Linked DNA regions of Coturnix japonica. The protein of the gene in region 2 interacts with the protein of the main gene of each other region in a biochemical or structural test. Links are inferred from orthologs where the notes say so. Each region holds a gene or a part of one and is shown on either strand. Other genes may lie near its edges. The genes, in order: RNF14, UBE2E3, NEDD4L and RNF25.

Region 1 (4,175 bases), on a different chromosome or scaffold from region 2:
ATAGTGATTGTAGCTAGAGGCTTCTGATATTGTTACTGCACCTGCAGAAGCAGCCACGAGCTGTCTCCATGTTAAAGCATGTTCATGCTGAGTCAGTCTTGTTTTGAGAAGGGAGACTGCAAACGCTGTAGTCCAGTTTTCCATGCTGTTCACAGCAGTGCTCATCAGGAAATGCCACTAATGGTAGGATGGTGAGACAGGGATGGGGAGGGAGGCTGCTCCTCAGGGCCTGCAGCATCCTCTATCTGCTTACCTTAGTCTAGCCTGCATTTAAGCATTAACACACCTCTAGGTTTATCTTTACCTGCACCTGAACAGCTCATACTGCCACGAGGTTAGTGGTTAGTGTTCCCATTACCTTTATTCCTTAGTGGGCATCATCACATCACTGATAGCCCCAAATCAGGTTCATTTACCTGCTCTGTAGAATAGCAGCTGTACGCTCCTAACAGCTCAGCCATGGATGTGCTCTAACCATGAAGTAGACGCCCAGGTTAGTTACATGAGCGCTGCCTGCAGCTCGGGGGGTGCTCATAGAAGGAGGGCTGTGTTTCAGCTGCCCGCACTGAGCGCTGACTGATGCCTTCCCAACTCCTTGCAGGGCTGTGCTTGCTGCCATGAGGCCTTCATTTGGAATGCTTGGTTTTCTTCTTTTCCAGGAACAAAGCGTTTTCATTTTCTATGAGTTTTCTGCAGTAATTTGCTTCTAGTACTGATTGTCATTAAACTTGCAAACATGAATTTGTATGTGTTAAAGCTGACGTTGAAACACAGTTCAGCTGTTGGAAGAAATAAATGCACTGGATTCTACTGGATGACTCTGACTGTCTGAAGCCGTTGATTGTGAGGAGAAGTAATGATGGTGTCGGGGGGTGTGAGCGCGGTCTCCTTATTGCCGCTGTTCCAGGAGGCGGGGATGGGTTACGGGTGTGTTATTGGGGTGGGCTACGGGTGTGTTATTGGGGTGGGTTACGGTGTGTTATTGGGGTGGGTTACGGTGCGTTATTGGGGTGGGTTACGGTGCGTTATTGGGGTGGGTTACGGTGTGTTATTGGGGTGGGAGTGGAGCTGAGCTCCGGCTGCAGCTGTTGGTTCGGGCGGAGCTGATGGCGGGGCAGCACAGCTGCACCTGGCGCTGTTTTGCAGCTGTTGTCGTGGCTCCCGTCCATGCGGGGCAGCTCCTGCCGCCTTCCCCGGCCGCGTGCGCTCAGTGACCGCATGGTGCGGGGCGGTACCGGCCCCGCCGAGGGACCCCGCGTTCCTCCCGGCCGCAGGGGGCGCTGTGGGGACGCGGAGCGGGGCGGGCGGAGCCGGGCGCTCTGCGCTGTCAGCAGCGCGGCGGGGCCGGGCCGGGTCGGGGCCTCCGCCCTCAGCCGCTCCTTCCCGGTCCGTCCTTCCCGTCCGCCGCGGTGCCGGCAGCGCCACGTTCCGCGTCCGCCGGGCCGCCACGAGACTGAGGTAACGGGGGGAGCCGTGCCGGAAGAGCGGGCCGTGCCGTGCCGTACTGTGCTGTGCTGTGCTGTGCCGTGCTGTGCTGTAATGTGCCGAGCCGTACTGTGCCGTACTGTGCCGAGCCGTACTGTGCCGTGCCGTGCCGGCTTCGCCGGGACCCGGGTGCTGCGGGCGCCCCGTGCGGCCTCGGCTCCGCCTGGCGCCGTCACTGCGGCCTCGTATCCCGGCCGTGCCGTGCGGAGCGTGTCCGGGCGGCTTCTCTTCCCGGCTGCCTTCGGTTCCGTTCCTGCTCGGTGCGGGCGGTGCCGATCGGACCCGCCCGGGTGCGGCGTGTGTCTGTGCTGAGGGGACTTTGACCCTCCGCTCCGTGCCCGCTCGCTGACAGTGCGCTCCGTGTATTTGTGCGTGCCGCGCTCCGGGCTGGGGACGGATCCGCAGCTGTGCGGGGAATTGCGGCGCCTCCTGCCGGACGCAGCGCGGCTCGGAGCTTCCAGCTGAGACCTGCGGCGCTTCTCTCATCGCTTTATAGAGCGCTGCTCCAGCCGTTCTGTCACTAACTCGGTTCCGTTCTCTTCCGCTCCGTTCTCCCTTCCAGACGCCGTGCCATGTCCCGCTGCCGCTTTCCTTTATCTCTCTGCTGTTCCCGCAGCTGCTCTCGGCCGCTGGGCACCGTTTGCTTTTTGCCTCCTCCACGTTCTGTGGGTGTTCCCCATGGTGTAAATAAAGCTCCCAGCACTTCTCAACTCGGAGACAAAGCCTGACTCTGTCCTATGCTCCCACTGCTTACTTTGGGTCCTGACTCTTCCTGTGGAGGTGTAAAACAGACCCAGACGTGTAGTTTGGATGGGACGCGTTAACTCGGTTGATGCTGTAGAGTGGTGTTAATTCCACAGACCATTTAAATGTCTTCAGAGGACAGAGAAGCTCAGGAGGACGAGCTGTTGGCGCTGGCCAGCATCTACGATGAAGATGAGTTTAAGAGAGCGGAGTCGGCACAGGGAGGAGAGACCAGGATTTGTTTGGAACTGCCCCAGAACTTCAGAGTTGTTGTGAGCGGTGAGTTGTGATGGCTGCTCTTGTCTTTACGTTCACTTTGACCAGGTGATTTTCTGGGGCCTCCCCAGCTGCTCCCATGAGCTGTAGGGATATTTACCTGACGGAGCCGTGTGGGACCCCTCCTTGTGTCCATCGCTGGGGTTGGTGTCGGGGAGGGCACTCAGCCTTTTGGATGCAGCCTCTCCATAGAGCTTCAAAGTCAGAGCTCAGTCATGGTGTTTCTTTGGGGTAATCAAGTCAATATATTTATTATTCCCCTGGGGGTGTTTTCCTTGCACTTGGCTCCTGCAGGATCTGCTATTTCACAGCACTGCTGTGTATTGGTTTAACCCCATACAACCTCATGGCACTTTACTGCACCATTATTTGGTGTTGAATGAATCACTTTAAACTGAGAAGTCTATCAAACATACAGAGGGGTCGCGTGTGCCGTCCTTTGGTTCTCACCTCTTTGTGATGTCTCACCCTGTCTCCATTGGCTCAGGCATTTCTGCAGAGAGTCCGCAGAGCTTTGAATACACCGTTCACTTTCTGCCTCCACTCGTGCTGAATTTTGAGCTCCCACCAGACTACCCGTCATCCTCCCCGCCTGCCTTCACTCTCAGCAGCAAATGGCTCTCCCCAGCACAGGTTTGCAGATCAGTTCTAACATTATAGCAGAGCTTTTGTGGTCATGAGTGTATAATTAACACCATTAGCTGTGGTGGATGTCAGTATAGTAGATGCAGTTATGATGTACGTGGTGACGTCTCTTTTTCTTGGCTCTTTTGTTTCCTAGCTGTTCTTACTTGGTTACCCTTCTGACAGTTCAGTGTGTGCCTTACGAGGCGCTATTTCTATGTCTTTTATGTATTACCCATCAGTTCCACAATTTGAGGTGTAGGTTTGCACCATGGGAGCTGTCACGAGTCCCCAGGACTCACTGAAGTCTGCACTGGTTTCTCTTTCCCAGCTCAGCGCTCTTTGTGAGCATTTAGACAACTTATGGGAAGAAAACCGAGGCTGTGTGGTCCTGTTTGCCTGGATGCAGTTTCTGAAGGAAGAAACGTTGAATTACCTGAATATTTCATCCCCATACGAGCTCAAAATGCGCCAACAAGGGAGTACATGGGGCAGGACGCCTTCGGTGCCTCAGGATGCCAAGGACTGTGTTGGTGCAGTGGGCTGTGCTGCGGCTGAAGAAGGAATTGATAAGAGAGCTGTACAGGACGTGGAATCTTTGTCCAGCCTGATTCGGGAGATCCTGGACTTTGATCAGGCTCAGAGAAGGAAGTGCTTTAACAGTAAGATGTACATGTGCAATATTTGCTTCTGTGAGAAGCTGGGCAGTGAATGTATGTACTTCACCGAGTGCAGCCATGTGTACTGCAAAGCCTGCCTGAAGGACTACTTTGAAATTCAGATCAGGGATGGGCAGGTCCACTGCCTCAACTGTCCAGAACCCAACTGTTCTTCTGTTGCTACTCCTGGTCAGGTAAGGGCTGTGCTGAACCCAGTCTGGGTTATCATGGCGAATACACACAGGGAAATTCTTTCTCTGAGCCACACAGATTCCTCCAGGTTATAACTGGATTATCAGGTACATATTTTGCCTGCTGGCAAAATGGTGGCACTGAACTGATGTCCTGTTATATTTGGTGCTGCGTGTTTGTTCATCCTGTTATTTA
Region 2 (4,198 bases):
TTTACTGCTGACTGATAGATTTTTGATATTGCCACACTTCCCTTTTACTAATTATGCCCAGATTGCTCATCATGCCAGATACTGTTTATGCAAAGAATTTTCTACAGCATACCTCAGGGGCAAATCGCTTGTAGTGGTGATCTGGGAATTCTCTATAGCCCACTTTAACAAACAAACCTCCGGTATTCCTCCCCACCATTTCACTCAGCTCACCCACGGAACCTTCAGCATACTGTTCAGCTGAGCTAATTCCAGCTACCCAGAGAACAGAACCCCCTGACGCACCGTTCAGCTCCTACAGAACGCAACCTGTGGCCTCTCGATCCTGCTAAACTTAAGCAGAGAGGCTTGAAGCCCTTGGACTATTGGCAAGGAAAGCCCTCGAGGTGCACAGTGCTGAGGTGAAGCCCAGCTGCTGGACAGCGGTTTTGCGTCCATTTCTATAACAGAACTCAAACCGCATTGCTCATTTCCCCTCTGCTGGACCCTGTAATCTGCAGCACAGGTACTTATCACAAATAGTTAACGCTTCTTTTACAGGTGGGTTTTATTGCTCCAGGATCACTTTGGAATATTCACATTACTCTAATTGGTGGATGGCTCTTACTGCACACTGACCACAGCTCCTCAGGTGCGGCTGTGATGGGCCTGGGAAGAAATTCAACCACCATCCTACACAGCCACTGATACAGACTACCCCCTTCCCTCTGTGATAACAGTCAGAACTCGGCACGTAGATGCATACGGTGCAACTCCTAATTGTGTTTCTAATTTGGAATAAACCACCATGACCGCACACAGTGCCGGCCATCACTTGGACGCGTGGATCGAGGAGCGGGGCACGAGGCGGCTGTAACACCGCTGTCAGACCCCGCGGGCGGCGGAGCTGCAGCCGGGACGGCCGGCGGAGGGCACCGAAGTGCTGATGATTCTGGCGGTGCCCACACTCAGGAGCTGTGCAGGATCGCGCCGTGCCCCGCCGCGCACAGCAGCCGTCGAGGTCCACCCGCGCGCCGCCGCTTTGTCCTTGCCCGGCCCGGAGCACGCGCGCCCTCGGCCGCGGCGGGAGAGCGCCTGCGCGCACCCCAGCCCGGAGGGGGGCGCGCTCTGCTGGCCGCCAGGCGGGAGCGAGCGCCCCCTCTGCTCTCCCGTCCCCTCCCCCGCTGTCGGCTGCAGCCCGGCACAGCGGCGGCGGCCGGGGGCGGCCGGTCTCCCCCCCCCTCTCCCCAACCCCGGACCTTCTCCCCCGCCCCCGGCGGCGCGCGCCCGCCGCCCCCCGCCCCGGCCCCCCGGCCCGCCGCGGGAGCCCGCGCCGCAGAGCGGGGCCCGCCAGCGCCACCCGCCGGCCGCGGGGCCGCACCGCGCCTCCCCCCGTCCCCCCCTGCTCCGGCTCTCAATGTTCCACACCGCCCGGCCACAGAGCCGCCGCCGCCGCCGTAGAGCCCCCCGGCCGTCTCCGTCCCCTCCTCGGGCGCCGCGGGCCCGGCCCGGCCCCCCGCCATCCCGCCCCTCCGACCCAGCAGCGGGACAGGACGCCGGCGAAGGTAAGCGAGAGGCGGGCGAGGCGGCTGCGGCGGCGGCGGCGGCGGCGGCTGGGCGAGCGCGGTGGGGGGAGGCGGGGAGGAGCGGGGGGGCCGCCGAGGAGCTTTGTTCTTGTTTTCGGCGCTCGCTGCCTGCCGGCGGCCGGGGGCGCGGGGCCGGCCGAGTTCACGCCTCACTTGGTGCACACACACGCGCGGCGCCGAGCGGGGCCGAGCCGAGTGGAGCGGGGCCGGCCGAGCCGAGCCGCCGCCTGCCGCGCCGCGCCGGGCTCACCCCACAAAGCGCGGCCGCCCCCGGCCCCACCGCGGCTCCCGGCCACCGGGCAGCCCCCTCCCCCCGCCGCCACCATGTCGGAGCGGGGCGGGGGGGCGAGAGGGCGACGCGGAAGGTGCGGGCGGCTGCGGGCTGCCTCCCCCCCGGCGGCCCTGCGGGGGCCCAATGCGGATCTGCCGGCGGGCAGTGGGGCTGCCGCTTCCCGAGTTGCTCCCGACGCATCTTCTGCGGGTTCCGCGGGGGTTTTCCTTTAAAAACAAACAACCCGCGTTCTCCCTCCCCCCCCCACCTCCCCCCCCCCCCCCCCCCCCCCCGCCCAGCCCTTTAAATGCACAGAGCAAGTGTATGCTTCGGTCTGATAGCAGCCCGAGTCTCATTGGCAATGGAGCTCCTCCGAGAGAGGGGTTGAGGGGGGATCAGGCGTTTGGACCCAATAAAACGCTCCGTTCCAGTGTAAATATTTACAGGGTATCGGTGACTCCTTAAAAAACATTCCCAGGGAGGTCTGTTATTTACAATGTGTCATAAGTTATTAATGTGCGTTTCCTAAGTGCCCTGCTCAATCTGTCTGTGCCTCAGAACCAAGCCGACAATTGGCATATTGTTTGAAGCATGACAAAAATGCGAGTGGGTTTAAAAATGGGAAATGCCGGTGTTTTCCGAAGTGTAAATGTTGTGGTGTGGCTGTCAAGTTGCAGCCCTGGCGGATGAGACAAAGAAGAGGATCCTGGTGGGTTTCTCCATGAAATAGAGTTATCGACAACCAAAGTGTTCTTCAGAGCTCAGGACGGCGAGGGGTGACCTGCGTGCTGTAGTAACTGCCTCTTCTCCTCCTTCCCCACAAGTTCCCCACGATGTCCAGTGACAGGCAGAGGTCAGATGATGAGAGCCCCAGTACCAGCAGCGGCAGCTCAGATGCTGACCAGAGGGACCCCCCGGCACCTGAACCTGAGGAGCAGGAGGAAAGGAAACCCTCTGCCACCCAACAGAAGAAGAACACCAAACTCTCCAGCAAAACTACTGCTAAGCTATCTACTAGTGCTAAAAGGTACTTGTGGCATCCAGCGTCCTGTAGCGGTTTTGCACGGTGTGTGGACTCGCAGTGTTGCACTGCACTTCCCAAGGCAGAGGGATTGCTTTAAAGCCACGTGGGAAATAGCACAGTACAAAATTCTGTAGCATGCTGGTCTGCTGGGAAGGACCTTCACCAGTCCAAATCCTCTGGGGCACTAATACGCGGGCTGGCCGTGTTTCTTTGGAGTTGTTGGAAAACTTGCTAACTCTCAGGCTGGTCATGGGGCACCTGTGTGCCTCTCATATTTGTTAAAATGAGTGAGAAAGCATAAGCTTCAGGTGTCTGGTTTGCAGAGACAGGTTTACATACCTTGTTGGTATAGGGTGGATCTTTCTGGTGTATTTCAGTGCAGGCTGCAGTGCAATGACAGTACTCTTTAATTACAGAAGTCACAAAAGCCTCGTGGATTCTGAAGGCCTTATGATTGCAGTAGAGCCCTGTGCACCTTAAAGTCACTGTTCTGTCCTGCAGTGCTTTCTGGAGAAAGTCAGGCAAATGGTCTCTTGTGGGATCCATGGATTCCAACCATAGGGTTCTTCAAGTGTAGCCTCTAAGTATCAGAATCTCAGGAAACCTTGTCTAGTTTTATCTGCTGCGTTTTTGTTTACACACAAGGTTACTGGCAGTCCAGCTCTCAAGACATGCGTGCTAATTATTTTCTGTAAGTTCAGCTGTGTGAAATAAAGCAAACTTTAATTCCCTCAATCCCAGTTGTCTTCTGAGATGAAACACAACTTTCAGTCTTTTCCCTGGAGTTCCCTTTCTTTACAAACATTTACAAATACACTGTGCGAAAGCCACATTAGCCTCGAGTTTTGCTTATCCAGCCCAAATACAGTAGCTCAGACTTTGAGGAACGTTGTAGTAACTTTGCACTGTACTTAAACTCAGTAAATACATTTTGCAGTGTCTCAGAATTATTGCAGAATGTGACTGGGTGACTGATGACTTCTGAGTTTGTTAAAGAAACCCTTTGGAATAGGACTTGGCTGCAGAAGGAAAAGTTCTGGAAACAGTGTAGACTTTGTAATTTATTGTTAGGCTTTGTGTTCTTTTTAGTGCCTGAGGTACATCATGTAGAGGCTCACAGCTGAGTTTTCTCCTCTTACCTTTGTTTTGGTTAATCCAGTAGTTCAGTAGCATGGTTGGGCTTAATAGAAATGGTGCATGGGCTTTTGGGGCAGTCCCTGTCAGCTCATGTTCTACACTTGCTATGCACATAAAAAAGCAGTCTTGCTCGCGTGGGTTTTGTTGTGCAGTTTTGTTTGTTTGTTTGATTTGACATTTAAAAGAGGAAATTGCCTTGAA
Region 3 (3,559 bases), on a different chromosome or scaffold from region 2:
TTCTTCGCCCAGTTTTACCTACTGTTTTGCAATAGAAGTTGGAAAATAATTTATTCTTAAGAGTGACCGTAGAATAATTTCTCCCTAATTATGTCACCCTTAAACATGAAATATTTTGATGTCTCATTAGCTATTGATGTGTGATATTTTTCTAGTACTGCTTGTAAAATACCTCTCATGGGTGGTGGATTTCATGAGGAATGTGTCCTGAAATAATGCCCTGTTTTATTCTATTTTTTTCTTTAAAATACAGACGTATCAAGTCGACCTGAAGCCAAATGGGTCAGAAATCATGGTAACAAATGAGAACAAAAGGGAATACATTGAGTACGTATATATTTGTAGAGTTCACCCTGAGCTTCACAACACACAGTGGTAATGCTTTGGAATTTACCCCACCGCAGTTATTGTAACACAGAGATTGTCAGACATCCTTTCAAAAGAAAATCCCTGTGTTAACATGGTTTGTTTGTTTACACTGCATTCCTAGAAAGTTTGGATTTTAACCTTTGCTGTTCGATGAACTACTGTAATTATGGCAGCCTATGTCATGTAGTAGGAAACAGTATTGATGCGCTGGCATAAGGAGCATTCAAGGAGGTATGGAATTGCCCTGAATGACTGCAGACACCAGTCTAAGTTACTCATTCTGAGCACCCTCCAAAACTGATGAAAAAAAATGGCCTTTCATGGGTACAAGAACTACAGTGTTACAGCAGGATATGAATCTGGCCCAATTTCATGCCTCACTTTGTGCACTGGCGGCCTCTGCTTTGTAGGTCTCCTAAGTGGTGAATTTCCACCCTGGGCTGCAGTTTTTCCTGCTGAAGTGCTATCATGGAATGCAAATGAAGAATAAGTGCAGAACAGAACAGTAAACTAACAAGAGAAAAGAGTGAAAATAGGACGTCACGTTGCTGAGGTCACATTTGCTTTCCCTTCAGTTTTTATTCAAGGAAGGGTTCAGGAACTCTGCACGTGTTTAAGTACTCCTTTAAGAGGATTACTGTGTACTCATTTCCAAACATTTGATGCAGTTTAATTTTTTCCAATGCTTTTCCCAAGAGTTATGTTATGATTAAGGAGTTCTAGTTGGTGCACAAGGAAAGAAAAAGAAGAGAAAAAGAGAAAAGGAGAGAAACTGCAGTTGTAGTTACAAATCTGCTTAGAGCTCTAGAATAATAGGAAAAGTCTCATCGTTTAGATACTTATTTCAAACAGTAAGTACATTACCTGGGGTCTAGACTACAATCTTGCTTAGAATAGAACATAGTAATGAATTTGTAGGCTGTATAATTTAATAAAAAGCAACTCAGTATCTCAAACATAAGAATATGACTGAGAGGTTCCTAAAGTTGTAAATGAGAAGCTGATATTGTTAGGGTTGCAAATTAGTCTTCTAATGAATGTGTTTATGTTTGTTATCTCCCACAGCCTGGTCATCCAGTGGAGGTTTGTAAACAGAGTTCAAAAACAAATGAATGCTTTTTTGGAGGTAAGGTTCTCCTTTTTGTCCTTTTCTTTACCCAAATTATGTAGGCATACAGCAGTGCCTGGTTACGGGAGTGGGAAGCTGTGCATGACCACACAGGTTCTGTTACTCATAAGATCATTCTCATTCAAGTTGACATTATTTGAGCTCGAAATAGCAGTTTTTAAATTAGAGACTCAATACTTCAGGAACTGTATATTTCATTTTCCAAACCCTTCTTTGCCCTCCATCACTTAGCTAACAGCTTTCCCTGAAGGCAAAGGTTCTATCAGAAGAAAAAAAAAACCACGTAATTACACATAGTTTACTGATTTTACTTTTTCTCCTAGGGATTCACAGAGCTTCTTCCTATCGATCTGATTAAAATTTTTGATGAAAATGAACTAGAGGTGAGTTTGCTTGATGTCGAGAGATGACAGATTGGTAATGCCCATTGCAGAGATGCATTATGTTCTCAATTCATTAGGTCATCATGGAGTTTGGAGAAAAAGGTTCTTTGTTTTAGTGGGAAATGAGGATTTTTTTTGCCCAGAATAATAAATCTCTCAATCAAGTAAAAGTACAAAAAGTATCAGTTACTCACTGAGGTGGTTTAGTACATGCATACATAAAGAATGCAAGTAGTTTGCTGAGTTAATGACATATACTGGCCATGTTTTCAGCAAATGTGCTGTAAAAGATGCCATCACATGAAGCATACATACTTCATATTGCATAGTGTTTCTCCAGTAAAGTGGGGTTATCCTTGAGAATTGTCCTGAAGAGAAGCTCAGTGCCACTTTATGTCTGTATTTGTATTTGTACAGCATTAACTGTTTGAGAGACCAGGCAACAGAGGGAGAGGTGGTTTATCTGATGAAGCCTTCAGGGTGATACTGGTACTATCTTTGATTAACATCATTGTTTCCATATCTAGTTACTGATGTGTGGCCTTGGTGATGTCGATGTTAATGACTGGAGACAGCACACGATCTACAAAAATGGCTACTGCCCAAATCATCCCGTCATCCAGTGGTTCTGGAAGGTAACACCCTTATCATGTTTGGTTTCTCTGACGATTCCTAGAAGTCAAAGATCCTTTAGTGTGCAGTGAAGTCAGTTATTGAATCATTTTTCTTCTCAAAAACTACGGAAAAATACTTTGGTATATTCTGGAAATGGCAGTTCCATTACTGGAGTCTGTATCGGAATGACCCAGACTGACAAAGTCTCTCCAGTTTTATTGAAGTGGTTTGCAATCTTTCTGAAGTGCATTACTTCTATGAAAAGTGTATGTTTGCAGGAGAACTAGGAGAACAGTTTTCCCTGTACTAGCCCAGAAGTCTTGTGAGTGAGTCACCTCATACAGATGAATGGCAGTTGTAGCTCCTGGCTGTTGCCCAGACATTGTCACTTTCTTTGTTAGAAGGGAATTGTTTAACCAGAGAAAATGTGGCAGGCCATCCTTCAAAGTTAGATATCCATTTCTTACCACGTAATACAAATAAATTCTGTTTTGCTTATTTTAACAAAGATATCTTTAGCCATGAAAAGTCACCCTGTCTGCTTCTCAACAGGCTGTTTTACTGATGGATGCAGAAAAACGCATTCGCTTACTGCAGTTTGTTACTGGCACATCGCGAGTGCCTATGAACGGATTTGCTGAACTTTACGGTGAGCTTCCTGCCCTCTGCCCACAGAACACACACTGCAGGTGGCGAGCACAAACACCACTGAAGTACAGGCATGGCCAACATTTATTCCCAGATAGAGCTTCTCCCACTGGATGCCAACAGCACTGTAGAAACTGGGGGGCGCTTGGAAGAGAAACAAAGTTCTGTTCATGGAATCATAGAATCGTTTGAGTTGGAAGGAACCTTTAAAGGTCATCTAGTCCAACTGCCCTGCAATGAAGAGGGACTCATATAGCTAGATCAGGTTGCTCTGAGCCCTGTCCAGCCTGACCTTGTATGTCACCAAATATGGGAAATTCACCACATCTCTGGGCAGCCTGTGCTAGTGCTTCATCACAGAATGGCCCCAATTGGAGGGGACCTCAAGGATCACAAAGCTCCAACCCTACTGCTG
Region 4 (4,211 bases), about 11 Mb from region 2:
CAATCTCCACCAGGGAGCAATCTCTAAGAGACGCTGCCTTAGTGGTGGTCAGCCCTTAAATGAGGTCTAGAGGAGGTGGAGTCAAGCTTCACCCCTTCTGGGAGCACAGCTAAATTACTCTCAACTGTGCTCCCACACCTGACCCGACACTTGGCTCAGCTGATTAATCAGAGGTTCAGGCTGTGATTACCAATGTCCCATATAAACACGCAGCAGAAGTCAGGGAAGTGTAAAGGAACAGGATAAGCATATAATGGTATTTCTGAGCCCAGTGGTAGAATCACTCCCTTGAGCATATTTTTTATCTACTGCCCAATTACTGGAGGGCTCAGACAAATATCAATCATTAGGCCGGGTCACAATCCTAAGTCTATTCCCTCATAAGGTCTCTCCGTGTCCATAGAGCAGGAGTTCCCAATTAAACCACCTGAGGGAGTAGAATACCTGGTGGCAGGTCTGCAGCACTCAACAAGAGTGGAGATACAGCTGGGCACTGAAAAAACCTGGTTAGATAGAAATGCTGCTAGAGCCCTGGAATATTGTCACCAGCATCTCCTGAGGCAGAGGTGACAGCAGATGACAGCCCACGCCCCCACCCCACCAAGCAAAAGTACCTGCCCTGCACGGGTCCCATTACCTCTTTATCAGTCTCAAAGCTGTCGAGCATCTGGATGATGTTAGGATGACGGAGACCTCTCATAATCTCAATTTCCCGCTGCAGATTCTTCAGCTCCTTCTCAGACCGCCCCACCTTGGGGATGAATTTCAGAGCCACCACCTTCCAAAGCAAAGCTGGGATCAGAGCAGTGTCCTGCCCGCGTTGGCAGGGGCTGCATTTAACCCAAGCGGGACTCATTATTTTCTAGGTGAACACACAGAACAAGACACGTTCATAGGGCCGGAGCAAGGAGTATAAGTACTCAGTACTCAGTACCTGAGCTGTGTGAGCAGGACTACAGGCTGTCTTCTAAAGGAAGAGATTATTGCCCTTTTCTTATTACTTTTAGGCTACAGTGGCCATTTTTTGGTCCAGAAGTGCACTGACAAACAGGAGCGGTCCTAGCTGGGGCACCAGGGTAGCAAGGTGGCTGATAACAGGGCATACAAGCTGAAACTGGGGGGGCTGAGCTTTATTAACCCGGTGTCTGGCAGGAGGCTTCTAAGATAGAGCCGGGCTCTTTATAGAGACCCATCTCTCTCCTCACCTGGGCGCTGCACCTCCGCCGCCCCTTGTACACCCGTCCGAAGGAGCCTTCTCCGATCACCTCCAGCACATGGTACCTCTCCATGGCGGAGCTCCGGGGTCGGGCCGAGGTTCCTCACAACACGGACCGACGATTTAAGGCCGCAGTATAACGCTGTTACAGGCCGTGGGGCCGCAGTACAACGCGGTTACAGGCCGCGCCGCCACATCGCCTAGCAACAGCTGAGGCCTTCCGCATCCGGGTCGGCCGTGAAGATGGCGGCGGCCGGCGAGGAGGCGGAGGCGGCGGACTGGTAATGGATCCCCCTGTCCCTCCCTGCCTTTCCCCGGGGCTGCTGCTTGTGGCTTCCTGACCGCTCGGTGCTCCGCAGGGCGCTGCCGGCCGAGGTGGAGGTGCTGGAGTCCATCTACCTGGAGGAGCTGCGGGTGGTGCGGGGCAGCGCGAGGTACGTACCGGGCCTCGCTCCCCGGCCCTGCTCCCGGCCGCCCCTTATCTCTTATCTCTGCCCGCCCTTAGGGCCGAGCCCTGGGAGCTGAGCATCACCCTGCACCCCGCCACGGCCCAGGACCAGGACTCCCAGTTCGTTCGCTGCACGCTGGTGCTGGCCGTGCCCCCCCAGGTAGGCTCCCATCCCGACCGGGCCCCTTGCTGCCCCTTATCTCTGCTTTTCTCGGTGCGTTTGGGGTTTTGTTGCTTGGTTTTGTTTTCTAGTATCCCAACGAGGCTCCGGACATCTCCATCAGCAACCCACGGGGGCTGTCGGATGAGCAGATCCAGAAGTGAGTGGGCAACCTGGTCTAGTAAATGTGTATGTTTGGTGGCCCTGCCAGGCAGGGGGGTTGGAACTACATGATCCTTGAGGTCCCTTCCAACCCGGGTCATTCTGTGATTGTGTGTGAGTGCTAAGAGGGAGGAGAGCAGAGTGGTGGTGTTAACAGTGCTGTAGAGCCTTCTCTTTATGCCTCTAGGGTGCCCTGTCAGCTTAACACATACATACAGCTCTCCAATCACCTTGAGTTAAGCTTTATGTCAGCTTTGATGCTGAGGAATGGTTTGTTCCCTTGTGGTCCACCTGAAACGTAAACTGAAGTCTCTCAGGCCTTCAGAGATGTTGATCCAGGTCTGACAGAGACATCACTGCAACTCATTTCAGTCTTCACACAGCCTGCTGCTGCCTTTGTGCTCCCGTTGTTGGTGCAGCAGAGATCCAGATACCAGTCAATGCACGGCATTAAAGTTGCTCCCACCAGATCAACAAAACCTTAGAGCACGGGAATATGTGCTTGCATCCGCGCTCATCCTACACTGTAGGCAAAGCCTGGTGGATGGCGTTCTTTTTATTTCTCTTGTTATCATGGTGGGGTGATGACAGGCGTGTGGAAGAGTGAAAAGGTGTGGCAAAGTTTGTGTTAAGTATTTGTGCTGCTTTGCTGTAGGATTTTACAGACCCTCAGAAATGTTGCTGAAGCCAGGCTGGGGACAGAGGTGCTGTATGAGCTGATTGAGGTGAGAGCTGGGGAGAAGGGAGGCAGCCAGATACGCACACCATTCTTTGACTCCCTTTGAGGTGGGAGAGCCCTGAGTCTGGGCCCATGTGGAGGCCAGTGAGAAAAATGCTTGCTTTTCTGCTTTGACAGAAGGGGAAGGAGATTCTCACTGACAACAATATTCCTCATGGCCAGTGTGTGATCTGCCTCTATGGATTCCAGGTAGGAATACATATTCCAGCTCTTCGTGCTGGCTGAGAAGTGAGTCAGATGAAGCCCAGTGGGAGAAGCTATGTATTTCTGCCATCAATAACATCCCTGCTGACATGGGAATGAAAACCCACCTCAGCTCGGTGCTGGGAACACCCTGTGAACACCCTTTTTCCTCCACAGGAGAGAGAAGCCTTCACAAAGACCCAGTGCTACCACTACTTTCACTCACACTGCCTGGCCCGCTATGCACAGCACATGGAGGAGGAGATTCTTATGCAGCAGGAGGAGAGAGAACAGCACCTGGCACCTTCCCCCAAACAGGTATTTGGCTTTGATCCCCTGCACAGGCCCTCATGAGTTCTCTGTCACTCCCTGTGGGATGTGGAACAAAGGCCAGCCTGACTCAGCAGCCATGTGCAGCATGGTTAGCATGGTGCCTGTGTTGAGAGAATCAGTGGAGATTGGACCAAATGAGCCCCAGGAGCCCTTTCCAATCATAATTAGAAACTGGAATCCCCCTGGGCCTCCCTGCCTTAGTAGAAAAGTGCTTGTGTTTAGCTGAAGTAGGCTGCCCTGTTTGTTTCACTTCCACCCTGGGGATTCTCTCGATGTATATGGGCTGGGCTGCTGCCTAGGGTTTCACCTCTCACCTCCCTGCAGAAAGTCGGCGTGCAGTGCCCTGTCTGCCGGGAAACCTTGATTTATGACCTCTGTGCCCTGAAGGCAGCGCCACCACCACAGCACCCACTGGTAAGAGATGGGGATTCATCTGCCTGGCTGTGTCCACTCTCTGGGTAGCTAAAATGTCATCTGGGACATTTTATCCATGAACAAACAGTGTCTGCTGGAGCTGATTAATGTGCTCTGCCAGTTACTCTCGGAAAACACACAAACATACAAATTCCATCTTGTGCTCTGTTCAGAGGGGGGACCACTGCAGCCCTTCTGTGTGATAAAGGCAGAGGGAAGCAAAAGATATGTAGCTGTTGCATATGGAGGCAGTGAGGATATGTAGTGTTGTTGGCTTACTCTCCAAAGCAAGCAGATATGGTGGGAGAGAGAGGCAATTCTGCCATCAAGTACTGAGTGCTTGATTTTCTATGTTCTCTCTGCTCTAAGAGAATAACTGTAGGTTTTCTTAAATATGTCCCTGTACCCACTGAGATGTTATCAGTTTCAGGTGAGTGACTCCAGCTTGTGTGGTGAGTTCTGGGGTTCTTCGTTTTTAGCTGCTCTGCATCTTGCTCCAAAGCAGGAGGCCCTAAGTCAGGGAATAGTGGGTGTTCCCTCTCTCTGTGTAAGTACT

What was found.
Region 1: the proteins of UBE2E3 (region 2) and RNF14 form a complex in vitro, tested with the Homo sapiens proteins (2 studies listed by BioGRID). The link is inferred for Coturnix japonica from reciprocal best matches to the Homo sapiens genes UBE2E3 and RNF14.
Region 3: the proteins of UBE2E3 (region 2) and NEDD4L form a complex in vitro, tested with the Homo sapiens proteins (3 studies listed by BioGRID). The link is inferred for Coturnix japonica from reciprocal best matches to the Homo sapiens genes UBE2E3 and NEDD4L.
Region 4: the proteins of UBE2E3 (region 2) and RNF25 form a complex in vitro, tested with the Homo sapiens proteins (2 studies listed by BioGRID, with this or other methods). The link is inferred for Coturnix japonica from reciprocal best matches to the Homo sapiens genes UBE2E3 and RNF25.

Annotation. Positions count from the first base shown.
Region 1 is NC_029528.1:1,070,921-1,075,095, reverse strand, and holds the start of RNF14 (E3 ubiquitin-protein ligase RNF14), read left to right. Parts: upstream 1-1,343; 5' UTR 1,344-1,458; intron 1,459-2,211; exon of another isoform or gene 2,212-2,345; 5' UTR 2,346-2,354; coding exon 2,355-2,508; intron 2,509-2,992; coding exon 2,993-3,138; intron 3,139-3,460; coding exon 3,461-3,982; intron 3,983-4,175. UniProt on the Homo sapiens protein: E3 ubiquitin-protein ligase that plays a key role in the RNF14-RNF25 translation quality control pathway, a pathway that takes place when a ribosome has stalled during translation, and which promotes ubiquitination and degradation of translation factors on stalled ribosomes.
Region 2 is NC_029522.1:12,888,612-12,892,809, reverse strand, and holds the start of UBE2E3 (ubiquitin-conjugating enzyme E2 E3), read left to right. Parts: upstream 1-1,371; 5' UTR 1,372-1,544; intron 1,545-2,660; 5' UTR 2,661-2,669; coding exon 2,670-2,863; intron 2,864-4,198. UniProt on the Homo sapiens protein: Accepts ubiquitin from the E1 complex and catalyzes its covalent attachment to other proteins. In vitro catalyzes 'Lys-11'- and 'Lys-48'-, as well as 'Lys-63'-linked polyubiquitination.
Region 3 is NC_029547.1:653,704-657,262, forward strand, and holds part of NEDD4L (E3 ubiquitin-protein ligase NEDD4-like), read left to right. Parts: intron 1-253; coding exon 254-327; intron 328-1,434; coding exon 1,435-1,495; intron 1,496-1,821; coding exon 1,822-1,881; intron 1,882-2,408; coding exon 2,409-2,516; intron 2,517-3,048; coding exon 3,049-3,145; intron 3,146-3,559. UniProt on the Homo sapiens protein: E3 ubiquitin-protein ligase that mediates the polyubiquitination of lysine and cysteine residues on target proteins and is thereby implicated in the regulation of various signaling pathways including autophagy, innate immunity or DNA repair.
Region 4 is NC_029522.1:24,278,168-24,282,378, reverse strand, and holds the start of RNF25 (E3 ubiquitin-protein ligase RNF25), read left to right. Parts: upstream 1-1,404; 5' UTR 1,405-1,459; coding exon 1,460-1,497; intron 1,498-1,575; coding exon 1,576-1,650; intron 1,651-1,721; coding exon 1,722-1,824; intron 1,825-1,916; coding exon 1,917-1,984; intron 1,985-2,641; coding exon 2,642-2,711; intron 2,712-2,842; coding exon 2,843-2,914; intron 2,915-3,085; coding exon 3,086-3,226; intron 3,227-3,565; coding exon 3,566-3,655; intron 3,656-4,079; coding exon 4,080-4,085; intron 4,086-4,211. Other genes in the region: STK36 (serine/threonine-protein kinase 36), read right to left, coding at 638-778, 1,206-1,289. UniProt on the Homo sapiens protein: E3 ubiquitin-protein ligase that plays a key role in the RNF14-RNF25 translation quality control pathway, a pathway that takes place when a ribosome has stalled during translation, and which promotes ubiquitination and degradation of translation factors on stalled ribosomes.